2 linked regions of the Drosophila melanogaster genome follow. The protein of the gene in region 1 purifies or fractionates together with the protein of each later gene. This does not show direct contact. Each region holds a gene or a part of one and is shown in the gene's direction. Other genes may lie near its edges.

Evidence for each region. The genes of interacting proteins can lie anywhere in the genome.
Region 2: the proteins of Mcm3 (region 1) and CG3430 purify together in Drosophila melanogaster (affinity purification with mass spectrometry, with the first as the bait; one large-scale study listed by BioGRID). This does not show direct contact.

What each region holds. Positions count from the first base shown.
Region 1 is NC_004354.4:5,321,359-5,327,673, forward strand, and holds Mcm3 (minichromosome maintenance 3), read left to right. Parts: upstream 1-2,496; 5' UTR 2,497-2,638; coding exon 2,639-3,997; intron 3,998-4,060; coding exon 4,061-4,294; intron 4,295-4,368; coding exon 4,369-5,235; 3' UTR 5,236-5,380; downstream 5,381-6,315. Other genes in the region: Rnp4F (RNA-binding protein 4F), read right to left, coding at 1-145, 204-379, 461-969, 1,032-1,049; CG3309 (uncharacterized protein), read right to left, coding at 5,948-6,315. UniProt on the Drosophila melanogaster protein: Acts as a component of the Mcm2-7 complex (Mcm complex) (Mcm complex) which is the putative replicative helicase essential for 'once per cell cycle' DNA replication initiation and elongation in eukaryotic cells.
Region 2 is NT_033779.5:6,954,514-6,960,017, forward strand, and holds CG3430 (uncharacterized protein), read left to right. Parts: upstream 1-2,494; 5' UTR 2,495-2,584; coding exon 2,585-3,774; intron 3,775-3,832; coding exon 3,833-4,076; intron 4,077-4,142; coding exon 4,143-4,526; 3' UTR 4,527-4,591; downstream 4,592-5,504. Other genes in the region: CG13775 (uncharacterized protein), read right to left, coding at 72-689, 744-1,706, 2,105-2,359; Atac1 (Ada2a-containing complex component 1), read right to left, coding at 4,670-5,504. UniProt on the Drosophila melanogaster protein: Associated component of the MCM complex that acts as a regulator of DNA replication. Binds to the MCM complex during late S phase and may act by promoting the disassembly of the MCM complex from chromatin.

The sequences.
Region 1 (6,315 bases):
ATTGTCGATATCAGCGAACGCAGCTTGTCGCCAAAGTCTGGACGCTCCACGTCGTAGTCCGCCAGCAGTTTGGCCCACAGCACATGGTTCTGTACGTTGCCCTGATCCACCAGGTAGTTGACAACGTATTCGGACAGCGGTATGCCTGCAATATGTAACTCGTCAATTGGTTTAACTACGAATGGATTCTATCTATCGCATACTGTAGTAGTAGCCCAACGCTTTGGCACACTGCTCCTCGAATGCCTTGCGCTCCTCGTCCGTTTGGGTGACGACCAGGCGGGCCTTTAGATACTTCAGCCACACGTGAGCCGGCACAGTGGCCAAATTTTGCAGCTCCAGCACCGATGACTCGATCTTTTCCAGATCATTCAGTTTGCTGCATTAACGAGCATCAACATTAGCTAATGCCGATATTGAAAAAATGGAAAATGGGAGTGGGAGAAGCAGGCAAACTCACAATGCGATTCCAATGAGCGAGACCATTTGGGCAAACTTTTTGCTGGGCAACGCATTCAGCTCCTGATACGAGCGCTCTAGCTGATTTCCGCCGCCAGCGTTGTCGCTATCACTGTCACTGTCACTGGACACCTCACTGTTCGATTCCAATTCCGAGCCTTCGATCACGCCCACATCATCGCTACTGCTGCTGGAATCATTGCGCGCTCTGCCACGGCCAGCGGCATTGCCTCCCTCAGTCTCCTCCACTGACGGCTCGTCGTCCGATGAGATCAACTCAATGGTGGTCATATCCCCGCCGGCGGACGACGGTGGCCAGGTTGGGCGCGATCGTTGGCGCAGCTCCTCCGACTTGTGCTCCTCCTCCTGCTGCGGCGACTCACTGTGCCCCTGCTGCGGCGAGCCCTTGCCCTGATCGGGTATCACGATCAGATCATACTCGTCATACGCATCGTCGTCCAAATCCTCTGCCGGCATCTCGTCCAGCTCCTTCTCCAGCTGCCTTTCCAGCTGCAATATATTGGGCATACGCATAAGGGCGGCGCCTATTGGAGCTATAATCTGACACTCACCTGCTTGTCGGCGTCCATGCTTCAACCGTTTATTTTGGTGGAAAACTTTTCGCTTTCCGTGGAACTGCAATTTTTCCCCCCCAAAAAAAATACAGGAAATAAAAAAACAAAAAAAAAACCGCAAACGCAGGGCTGGCCAATCTAATATCGCGTTGTTGCGCTTATCGTGGAAAATTATTTGGTTTCAGGTTTGGTTTCCCTATTGGGCACTTTTTCTTGGAAAAACTTTCCAAGCACTTACTTTCTGAGAATTCGGTTAACGAAAACTTATCATTTTCTGTCAAGAAACACCGGTAAAGTGTGAATAATATGCGAATTTTTTTTTCGTTATAACAGTGTGACCAGTGCGTAATATCGATAGCTGTGCGCACTCGATAGTTGCGGCAGTCCAGACAATGGCTGTGTTACCAGCAGTGCAGTGAAGACTCGTGATGAGCAATTTGAAGACTAATTTCGGTAATATGTGGTCAATATTAACTGGTTTCTTTGGGCGGTCAGAAATGTATAGCAAAGTCAAATGATAAACTAAATCCTACCAAGAAATATAATTTATTTTAAACATATATATATTTTATAGAAATAAATAAAAATGGAATTTATTTTACTTAAGTGCTATATATATATGTATCATAAAATGTAAACAATTTCTGTTTCTTTTACACAAACTATTTAATAATAATAAACTATTTAATACGCAGCCACATCATAAATGGATTAAGTGTAGACAGTACTCAGGCAAATAATAAAAATATTATACCATTATATGAATGGATTAAGTGTGGACAGTAATTAAGCAAATAATAAATATATTACTATATACTATAATACTATAATAGGAATTGATTAGGTGTAAACAGTAATAAGTCATATAATACATATATTGTATATATTATAGGATATAGTAATAATAATATAATAATAATTAGGCAAATAATAAATACAAATATTATACTATTATAAGAATGGTTTAAGTGTAATAATATTATATATTATATAATAATTAAGCAAATAATAAATATATAATACTATTATAAGAATGGATTAAGTTTAAACAGTAATTAGGCACATAATACATATATTGTATATATTATAGGAATGTATTAAGTGTGGACAGTAATTTAGCAAATAATAAATATATTTTACTATTATAGCAATGGATTAAATGTAGATATTAATTAGGCAGATAATAAATATATACTACTATTATAGGAATTATTTGATAGTTTTCTATATTGTATGCATTACAAATTAAGTCAGATGTTCGGTGGAAACGTTTTAATTATAAATTTGCATATCAACGTATATTTGCTTATATTAGTTAGTTTGCTATGTCCACTATGTTTTATATAATAAAGTTAATAATTATATGTAAATATATAAAAAAAGGAAATAATTATAGCATATATATTTTGCCCGCGCAACCAGTCTTCAAATGCCCACAGTATGGTCACACTACGCTTTTCCCGCGAAAAAACTTTGCATTCGGCGTGCAATTTGCGACATTAGTTTTGTTTGCATTTGCGTTTGCCTCCGAACGGATCGAAGTTGATCCATAAGCGAAATCGAAAGAAGTTTTGTGAACTCCAGTGTACAGCTTAAGTCACAGAATGGCCCACGAGGGGGAGCAGTTCATCAAGGACATACAACGCGAGTATGTGGACTTTCTGGACGACGAGGAGGATCAGGGCATCTATGCGGGCCACGTCAAGGATATGATCGCGGAGAAGAGCAAGCGCCTGATCGTGAATGTCAACGATCTAAAACGCAAGAATCCGCAACGTGCATTGGGGCTACTGAGCAACGCGGCGGATGAGCAGCTGGCCTTTGGCAGGGCGCTCAAGGAGTATGCGTCCACGGTTGATCCGGGCTATGCCAAAATGCATGAGGATCTGTTTGTCGGCTTCGAGGGCTGCTTTGGCAATCGGCATGTGACGCCGCGCTCCCTCACCTCCATCTATCTGGGCAACATGGTGTGCGTGGAGGGCATTGTTACCAAGGTATCGCTGATTCGTCCCAAGGTGGTGCGCAGCGTTCACTATTGCCCCAATACGCGTAAGGTAATGGAGCGCAAATACACCGATCTCACATCGTTCGAGGCTGTGCCATCTGGCGCTGCCTATCCCACAAAGGACGAGGATGGCAATCTGCTGGAGACCGAATACGGTTTGTCCGTTTACAAGGATCACCAGACGCTGACCATTCAAGAGATGCCCGAGAAGGCGCCGGCTGGCCAATTGCCGCGTTCGGTGGATATTGTGTGCGACGACGATCTCGTGGATCGCTGCAAGCCCGGCGATCGTGTACAGATTGTGGGCAGCTATCGCTGTTTGCCGGGCAAACGCGGTGGCTACACCTCGGGCACGTTCCGCACCGTGCTGCTGGCCAACAATATATCGCTGCTCAGCAAGGAGAGCAATTTGGACATATCGCGCGAAGACATCATGCTGTGCAAGAAGCTAGCGAAGAATAACGACATCTTCGAGCTGCTCAGCAAGAGTTTGGCGCCCTCGATTCATGGACATGCCTATGTGAAGCAGGCCATTCTTTGCCTGCTGCTCGGCGGCGTTGAGAAGATCCTGCCGAATGGCACACGCCTGCGTGGCGATATTAATGTCTTGCTTATCGGCGATCCTTCGGTGGCCAAGTCGCAGCTACTGCGCTACGTCTTGAATACGGCACCAAGGGCCATACCGACAACGGGTCGCGGATCCAGCGGCGTCGGTCTGACGGCGGCGGTTACCACGGATCAGGAGACCGGTGAGCGGCGATTGGAGGCGGGCGCCATGGTCCTGGCCGATCGCGGTGTCGTCTGCATTGATGAGTTTGACAAGATGAGCGACATCGATCGCACAGCCATTCACGAGGTGATGGAACAGGGTCGTGTTACCATTTCCAAAGCGGGCATCCATGCCTCGCTCAATGCTCGCTGCTCCGTTTTGGCAGCCGCTAATCCGGTGTACGGAAGGGTAAGAGTCCATCCGAATCCGTCTGTTCATCGCTTTTCTTGCTAATTTCGTCTTCAATTCCAGTATGATCAATATAAGACGCCGATGGAAAATATTGGACTGCAGGATTCGCTGCTTTCGCGTTTCGATTTGCTCTTCGTTATGCTGGACGTGATTGACAGCGATGTGGATCAAATGATTTCGGACCATGTGGTGCGCATGCATCGCTATCGCAATCCCAAGGAGGCCGACGGCGAGCCCTTGTCCATGGGCAGCTCCTATGCGGACTCCTTGTCCTTTGTTTCCAGCAGCGAGGAGGTGGGTTTTCGTCGAAAGGCACGATTATGATTGTGTATAATCGATTGACATGGTCTTGAAATTGTATTTTACAGAAGAAGGACACCGAGGTGTACGAAAAGTACGATGCCCTGCTGCATGGCAAGTCGCGTCAGCGTCACGAGAAGATCCTATCCGTGGAGTTCATGCGCAAGTACATACACATTGCCAAGTGTATGAAGCCCAAATTGGGCGAGCAGGCCTGCGAGGCGATTGCCAATGAGTATTCGCGCCTGCGCTCCCAGGAGGCGGTCGAAACGGATGTGGCACGCACGCAGCCAATAACGGCCCGTACCCTGGAGACCCTCATCCGTTTGTCCACGGCCCATGCCCGGGCACGCATGTCCAAATCGGTGACCATCGACGATGCCCATGCGGCCATCGAACTGGTACAGTTTGCCTACTTTAAGAAGGTGCTGGATAAGGATCGCCCCAGCAAGCGTCGTCGCAACAGCGGCTCCGATGCGGAGGATGACAACGGTGAGGCATCTAGCCAGCGCTCACCATCGCGACGCTCCAAACGCACACGCACAGCGACCGTCGGTGCCGATAGCGATGAGGAGGATATTGAGCCACCACAGCCGGATGCTGGCGATTTGACGCGTCGCGAAACGCGTCGTTCTCTGCCCGCTCGCTCGGTCGCCATGCTGATGGCCAGCCCCTCCAGTGAGGAGCAGTCGGTGGCCACATCGACCACGGAGCCGGCCATCATTAGCGATGCCCGCCTGGGCGAGTTCAAGAACAATTTGCAGCGACTGTTTCGCGAGGCACGCGAACAGAGCTTGGCGCTGGCCAGGATCACCACGGCCATCAACGTTGGCAGCCAGGAGCCGTTCACCGCTGGCGAAATCGAGGCCGCCGTGCATCGCATGACCGAGGACAATCAGATCATGGTCGCCGACGATATAGTCTTTCTCATCTGATCGCGCATTCCAAGGAGCAACAATCGAACGAACGATTGCATCCATCAATCCATCCTTTATCCATCAACCATTCTAGCGCTTAAGTTGTCATTTTTGTTTTGTATTTATATAAAAAAAAAAATAAACACTTTGGAACTCCCATTGCAATCCACGGAATATGTACGTTGGCATAAGGAAAGGCTGCAGCTGTTGGCTAATGTATTATAGTTAACTTATATTTGACATAAACAATTTAAGCGATATACACACAAAGTTGCACAACGGTTTTAAAAGAAACAAACTGAAGGTATAACCAACTGGCTTCACAACTCCCATTCACAATCAGTAAAAAGCTGGAGAGGAAGGGACTGCAATGTTGTGGTTAGTGGTTTCAAGCTGCAGCCACATAGATATTATTGGCATGGTTTTCGACATTTTGAGACATGAGCATTGTTTTCGCATGGATGTGAAAATATGGAAGGGACACATCGATTACATTTAATACTTGACTTGTAGTTTGAACTAACAACATTCATCGCTTCGCTTGGATTCACTTTAGAATTAAACTAGACACAAATACGGCGACTAATCGCCGATTAAAATCTATTTACACTGATAAAGAGCACCGCCAGGCACAATCACACAATCACAGGATACTAGCAGACAGATGTGGAGCAGCCAAAGTGATAAGTGGCAGAAGAGAAGGAGGAGGACGAGGATTGAGCTACTACCATCAAAGATTCACCACATTCTTGAGATCCGGCGGCAGCAAGCCCTTCATGCACTCAATCTGGGCGCGTATCTGCTGCTGAGTTGAGCCATTGTTGCCCTCCAGCTGCGTGGCTTTGTCGCCATAGAGATTCAGTTTTTGCTTGAGCTTGAGTATCATATCGATGATCTCCACCTCCTGCTTGTCGTGCGCCCAGTGCTCGAGATTCGCCACGGATAGCGCCTGCAGCTGTAGATCCTGCAGCGTTAGCTGCAGCTCCCGATGACGTGCACCGTACCAGCCGCGAAAATTGGGCGATCGAAAGAAGCGTCTGTACAGGCCCTTCCAGTCGCCCTTCAGCGGCGACGTTAGCTGCGGCCCAGCGGTTTCCA
Region 2 (5,504 bases), on another chromosome or scaffold:
ATCAAGTAGTTGTAAGATTAAAGCTAATATTATGTACATAAATACGTTTAAATTATATAAATTACTGTATCCTAATTGATTTCCGAATTGCTAAAGCTAAAGTTGGCCTTCATGAGCAACATTTTGGATGCACTTTCGGGGCTCAAGCCCGCCTGCATGTCGAAATACAAGTGCGTTGATTTTCTAAATAAGCCTTCACTAACCACACTTGCTGCTGGTGCTGATAAGAATTTCCTAACAATGCCATACAAGGATATGTATTTTATGTTGCTCCTCCACCAAATCAGGGGATCCATGTTCCTATCGATTCTGGGTTCGGAGTTGTATAGATATAGCAGATTCTTAATCTGAGACTGGGAGCCCATTGACGTATTTGGCTGTTGAGTGTTCGTCGTTCCAGTTGTCAGTATGCTATCCAGAATGCTATCGATCTTTGATTCATTCTTCTGGGACGATGTGGATGACACTTTGATTATTTTCAGCGGTGGCTGACCATTGCAATCCTCTGGCACTCCAGCGAGCTGAAGCAGAACTTCATTGGCCACCAACTGCTCCTCACGTTCGGTGAAAAATGCTTGCTTATATCTCGGATCCAAATATGTGGCCATCAAAAAGTTGATGTCGCTAGTGATGTGGGCGAACTTCATTTCCAGTTCTTCAAGCAACTTTCTGGCGAAACTGCATATAGTCTAGACATTCGAAATATTAGACAATACTTTATGGTTTTATCTACTGCAACTTACCACAGATGAGACAAAGTTATGGACATCTGTTCGGAGGGAATCCCGTAAAGCGGCAACCAGCGGGATTACGGATGAGGTGGTCGTAGATGGATTGCTCCATATCTTGATTGTTTCTTCACAAGGCTGCATTACTTTGCTGCACAAATCGATCTCTATCCATTCATCTGGATATATTTGGACCAGACTATACTCTTCGCAGTACAAGGATAGAGCATCTTTCATTCGAAACACGCTGCTCATCATCTGAAAAGCGGAATTCCATTGACAGGGATCGTAAGGTGTAAGTGTGCACGGGTCTCGCGTCAAGCGGATCTCTTGAATGAATTTCAGATGATCGTTGGCCATCTTAGACGACGCAAAATGGTCAACTATTTGCTTGCACTTGGATGAAAGGTTCTGCAGTAATTCGTTCGATTGCAAAGCAAATCGAACGCACATCTGCAGGCGGTGCACACTGCAATCGGGCAGGGAACCTGGCAGCGCCGTCATCTCGTCCCTGATTACGCAGTGTATCTTCTCTTTGGGCACCTCAATGGCCAAGCTGGGCACAAGATCTCGAATGCAACAAGCTAGCTTCGAAGTGCTTTCGTAATTCAGAGCCTCGCATTTCAGCATTAGGCGGTGAGTCTGAAAATCCCTTGATATTCCGGAGCAGGACAAGCTCAGCAGTCCTTCGCCTTTGTCACCACGCCAGAGACTCGTAGACAACGATATGGCATCCAGCAGATCCACCTGTTGCTTCAAATGCTGATGCATTTTCCTTTGTATATCCTCGCACAGTATCTTCTCATAGTAGCTCCTTGGTTGAATCGTGTACCGCGGCTGCAGCGTCCTAATGAAATTTACGAATCCTGGTCCTTCAATGAACTCAAAGGAGTGATTTAGTAGCATGAGGGCCAACTTCTCATCACAGCGTTTGCTGTAGGATATATCCTCGGTGTCCAATGGATCTGAATCTGTTTCCTAAAATGATTAATAGAATAATTTAATGCATCAGATTAGTGAAAAACGCATAATTTATAAAAATATAATACTAAGACCATAACAGTACATTTTTAAAACCTCCTTAACTACACTTTATAAACACAACACATGTTTGCCGATCTAGCCAAACGCGGATAAAAATCCGCATCCGCTGTTGCTATATTAGTAAAAAGTTTTAAATAAGAGAAGGCATAAATTACTTTATGAACTACCAAAGAAACTATATTTGAATGGAAACTTAAGTTTGGGGAAACCATCTCCACATGACAGAATATCTAGAAGGGCATGTACCCCGATTTCACATAAGGTACACTTCTTGCACAGTACATATGCATGTACATAGGTATGTATGCACATCTATATGCTATCCCACTTACGTGCAGATTCAATTCTAGCTGGGCTGTGGGGTGCTGTGGCGAACCGATGGAGATCTCGCTCTTAACCAGGTCCAGGTACTTTATGTCCCCGGATAGAGATAGGAACTCCGGTGGGTGCTTGCTCTTCAGATGATTCCGCAGACATGTTGTGCCGCGTCCTCGCCTCGAGTAGTTCCTGTTGCACAGCAGACAGGTGGCCACTGTGCCGGATGTCTTGTAGAAGTACTGCCACACATTGCTTTTCTTCTTGCTCATCGCTGCAATTCTTTGGTAATTCTCAAATTGTACATTTTTTGCGGATGTCCACATCCGCCTCTACATCCGTTCTGCGGCAGAGTTCGACATCCCTGGCAGATATCGATAGGCCCATCGATGACCATCACTAATATGCTGCAATCAGTTTTTGGCGCGCCAAAGCAGCTGTTGTTTTTTGCATTCGAGGTTTTTGAGGCATTTGCAAATTCATTCGTTAACTAGATAATGCCCTGTGCGATGGAGCTGCCCAGCACGCCCGATGAACTGGCCGCCCAGCAAGCGGACAGCGCTGCACTCAAGGACTTGCTCAAGGATCCCAGTCGTTGGCACTCGATTCCCCTGCTCAACTACACGCCTCTTCACAAGCTGAAGGATCAGACTCTGGTGCGCTTTCGTGGAATGATCCAGGACATGATGGACCCAGAAATCTATCTGGAGCGCTACGAAGTGAAATCCGCCGACGGCAGCAAACGTGTACAGGAAGGAAAGTACAGGGACTGCTTGAAAATAGCCAATGGCGAAGTGATTGACTACAACGCCGATGGAAACGTGCATGGAGAGAGGCGTACCATGTTCGTGGTCTCTGTGCCTGGTCTGAACGATTGGAGCAAGGAGCATGAGAAGCTGTGCTGTCCCCAGATCGATTTGGCCAGTCTGGGTCAATCTCCCAGTTCAGCCAAGAAGCGGACTATTGTAGGCGAAGAAGAAGCCATGGATGTGGACGTTGCGAGCGAAACAACGTTCAAGCGACCCTGCCTAAAAGAGATTCAAAAAGATAGCGAGCCAGTCGGCGCCTCCAAATCCTCTGTTCTTGGGTCTGATTACCTGATTAACTCGCCTCTGCCGGATCGTCCCAGCATGGCATGCATGGTAAAGGTTTACGAGGAGTTCGATACCTACCAGCTTAACTCGCTGGTCGACTTTGTGGGCTTTCTGTCAGTGGATGCTTCACTAGACGCCGCTACCCTGGAAATAGACGATTGTGAAAACTTGAGTGAACTGCAGGCAGCTCATCCATCGCCATTTCTTATACCCCGCCTGCATGCCTTCGGAGTCCAGGTGCTGCCGCATGCCAATCCGCTGCTGGACAAAAGCCTTCGACAGCCAACGGAAATATGTGAGGAGACGTATCCAACCCACCTTGCTGTGCACAAAGATCTGCGCATGCTTCTTAAACTCTGCCTCTTTGATGACGATCTGGCTGCCGAGTATTTGCTCTCCCACCTAATATCTACGGTCTACAGTCGTTCTGAGATGCAGAGCATCGGCAAGTTCGCCCTTAACCTTTGTAATCTCCCTAAGAATTGTGAGGCGTATGCAACCAAGTTGTATCAAATTCTGGAGCTGCTACTGCCGGCCAGCCATTACATGCCCATGACTCTCGTCACACTAAACACGGCAGCCTTTGCCCCAAAGTAAGTTGGCTAAGCAGAAATAGTATAAAATTGAATACCTATTAATGAGTACTTGCAGGAAGGATTATGAGACAAACAAGCTGGTTTCCGGCGTACTACAGTTGGCTCCCCATACGCATTTGGTGCTCGACGAGACGTGCATGCAACAGGGCAAGCTGGAGGCCAATGGTGTTCATGCCGTTCAGCATTTAGCGCACTTGATCAATAATCAGGAACTGAAGTGCGACTTTCAGTATTACCAAATAGACTACCAAGCAAATATTCCAGTTCTCGTGCTCAGTGAAGGGCGAAGTATGTTGCCGGTAAGAATATAAGTTTATATAAATAATCATTATATCCAATAGAAACTATTAATGATATGTTTTCAGAGCGATTTTGTGCTGCCCATTAATGCCGATTCTAAGGCCGTGGAACTTGTTGATGAATCTCTAAAGGCAGCCCACCACTATCTGCAGCCATCACGTCTGCAGCAGTTTCGCAAGTACTTGACCACAGCGCGCACTAGCGGCTTCAACGTGAGCGAGGAGCACACTGAAATGATCCAGCAGGATTTCGTGGACATGCGTAAAGCTAATGTCAAAAGTAATGCCGATGATCTGCATGGATTGCTGGTCCTCTCACGGCTGCTGGGCATCGCCCGGGGGAAGGATACGTTGGACAAAGAAACATGGCAGCTGGCTACGGAGTTCGAAGCAAAGCGTCGCCAGCGTATTCAATCTCTGCCGAAATCATCTGCCCAATTGCGCAATTAAGAGGGCCTCTCTTTTATACCATTTAATATTAAGTTTTTATAAATAAAATAGAATTTTTTAAAATTATTCTCTTTATATTTAATTTGTAGCTTTACAGGCAAGTCTAGTAATTTAGTACTCAAGTAAATGGGACTCTAGGAGCGTCATGACTCTTGGTCCACTACAACTTCATGACTTAAATGCTCGAAACGCCCTTCGATTAGCTGACTGGCCAGGCAATCTCCGCACAGATTAAGGTAACAATAACAACTGTTACAACGCCATTGGGTCCTGGTCACAGATGCCTCTTCGCACTCGGCACACTTGGCGGCCAGCAAGTCTGGCTCATATCCGTCCTCCATTTCCCGTTTCTCGTCCTGAATGGCTGATAGAAGCTTAAGGCATAGTTCCTGTTTTCGCTTTGACTCCGCATTCAGATCGGCATCCATGTACTCGGATTCGATCTTTGGTTCGATCTTGGATGCCGGCATAAGGAGCATATCGCTCGCAGGCGATGGGATTCGCAGGTCGTCAAATGTGAAATCGTCCTCTGGCATTTGTAGCGATATATTATGAGCGGGGAAGAAGGTTGACTTGCGAAGTTTGATCTTCGGCTTACTCAAACCAGGACGTCGATGCTTGGGTATGCGACCGGGCACAGGCATTCCGGCATCGTGCAGCTTTTGGAAATACTTCTGGACACGACTATACACTTGCTGTGCCGTTCTGTTGCCCAAGGCCTTCGCTATCTTCCCGAATCTGCGCATTTCCACTTCCTCTGGCGGATACTGGATGAGCAGCTGCTCCAAGCGACTCTGCTCTTCGTTGGTCCACAAGCGATTGAAATTCTCCGACCGTCCATTGCTCCTGTCCCGATTCTTGTTCGCCTCTTGCGTCCATGAAGACGCATCGGTCGGTGTCTCATTTGTGCCCCCTTCCTCGTCATTGGGCGACAGAGTTGGCAAGTCCGGTAGAACGGTCGTGGTGATGTAATTATCC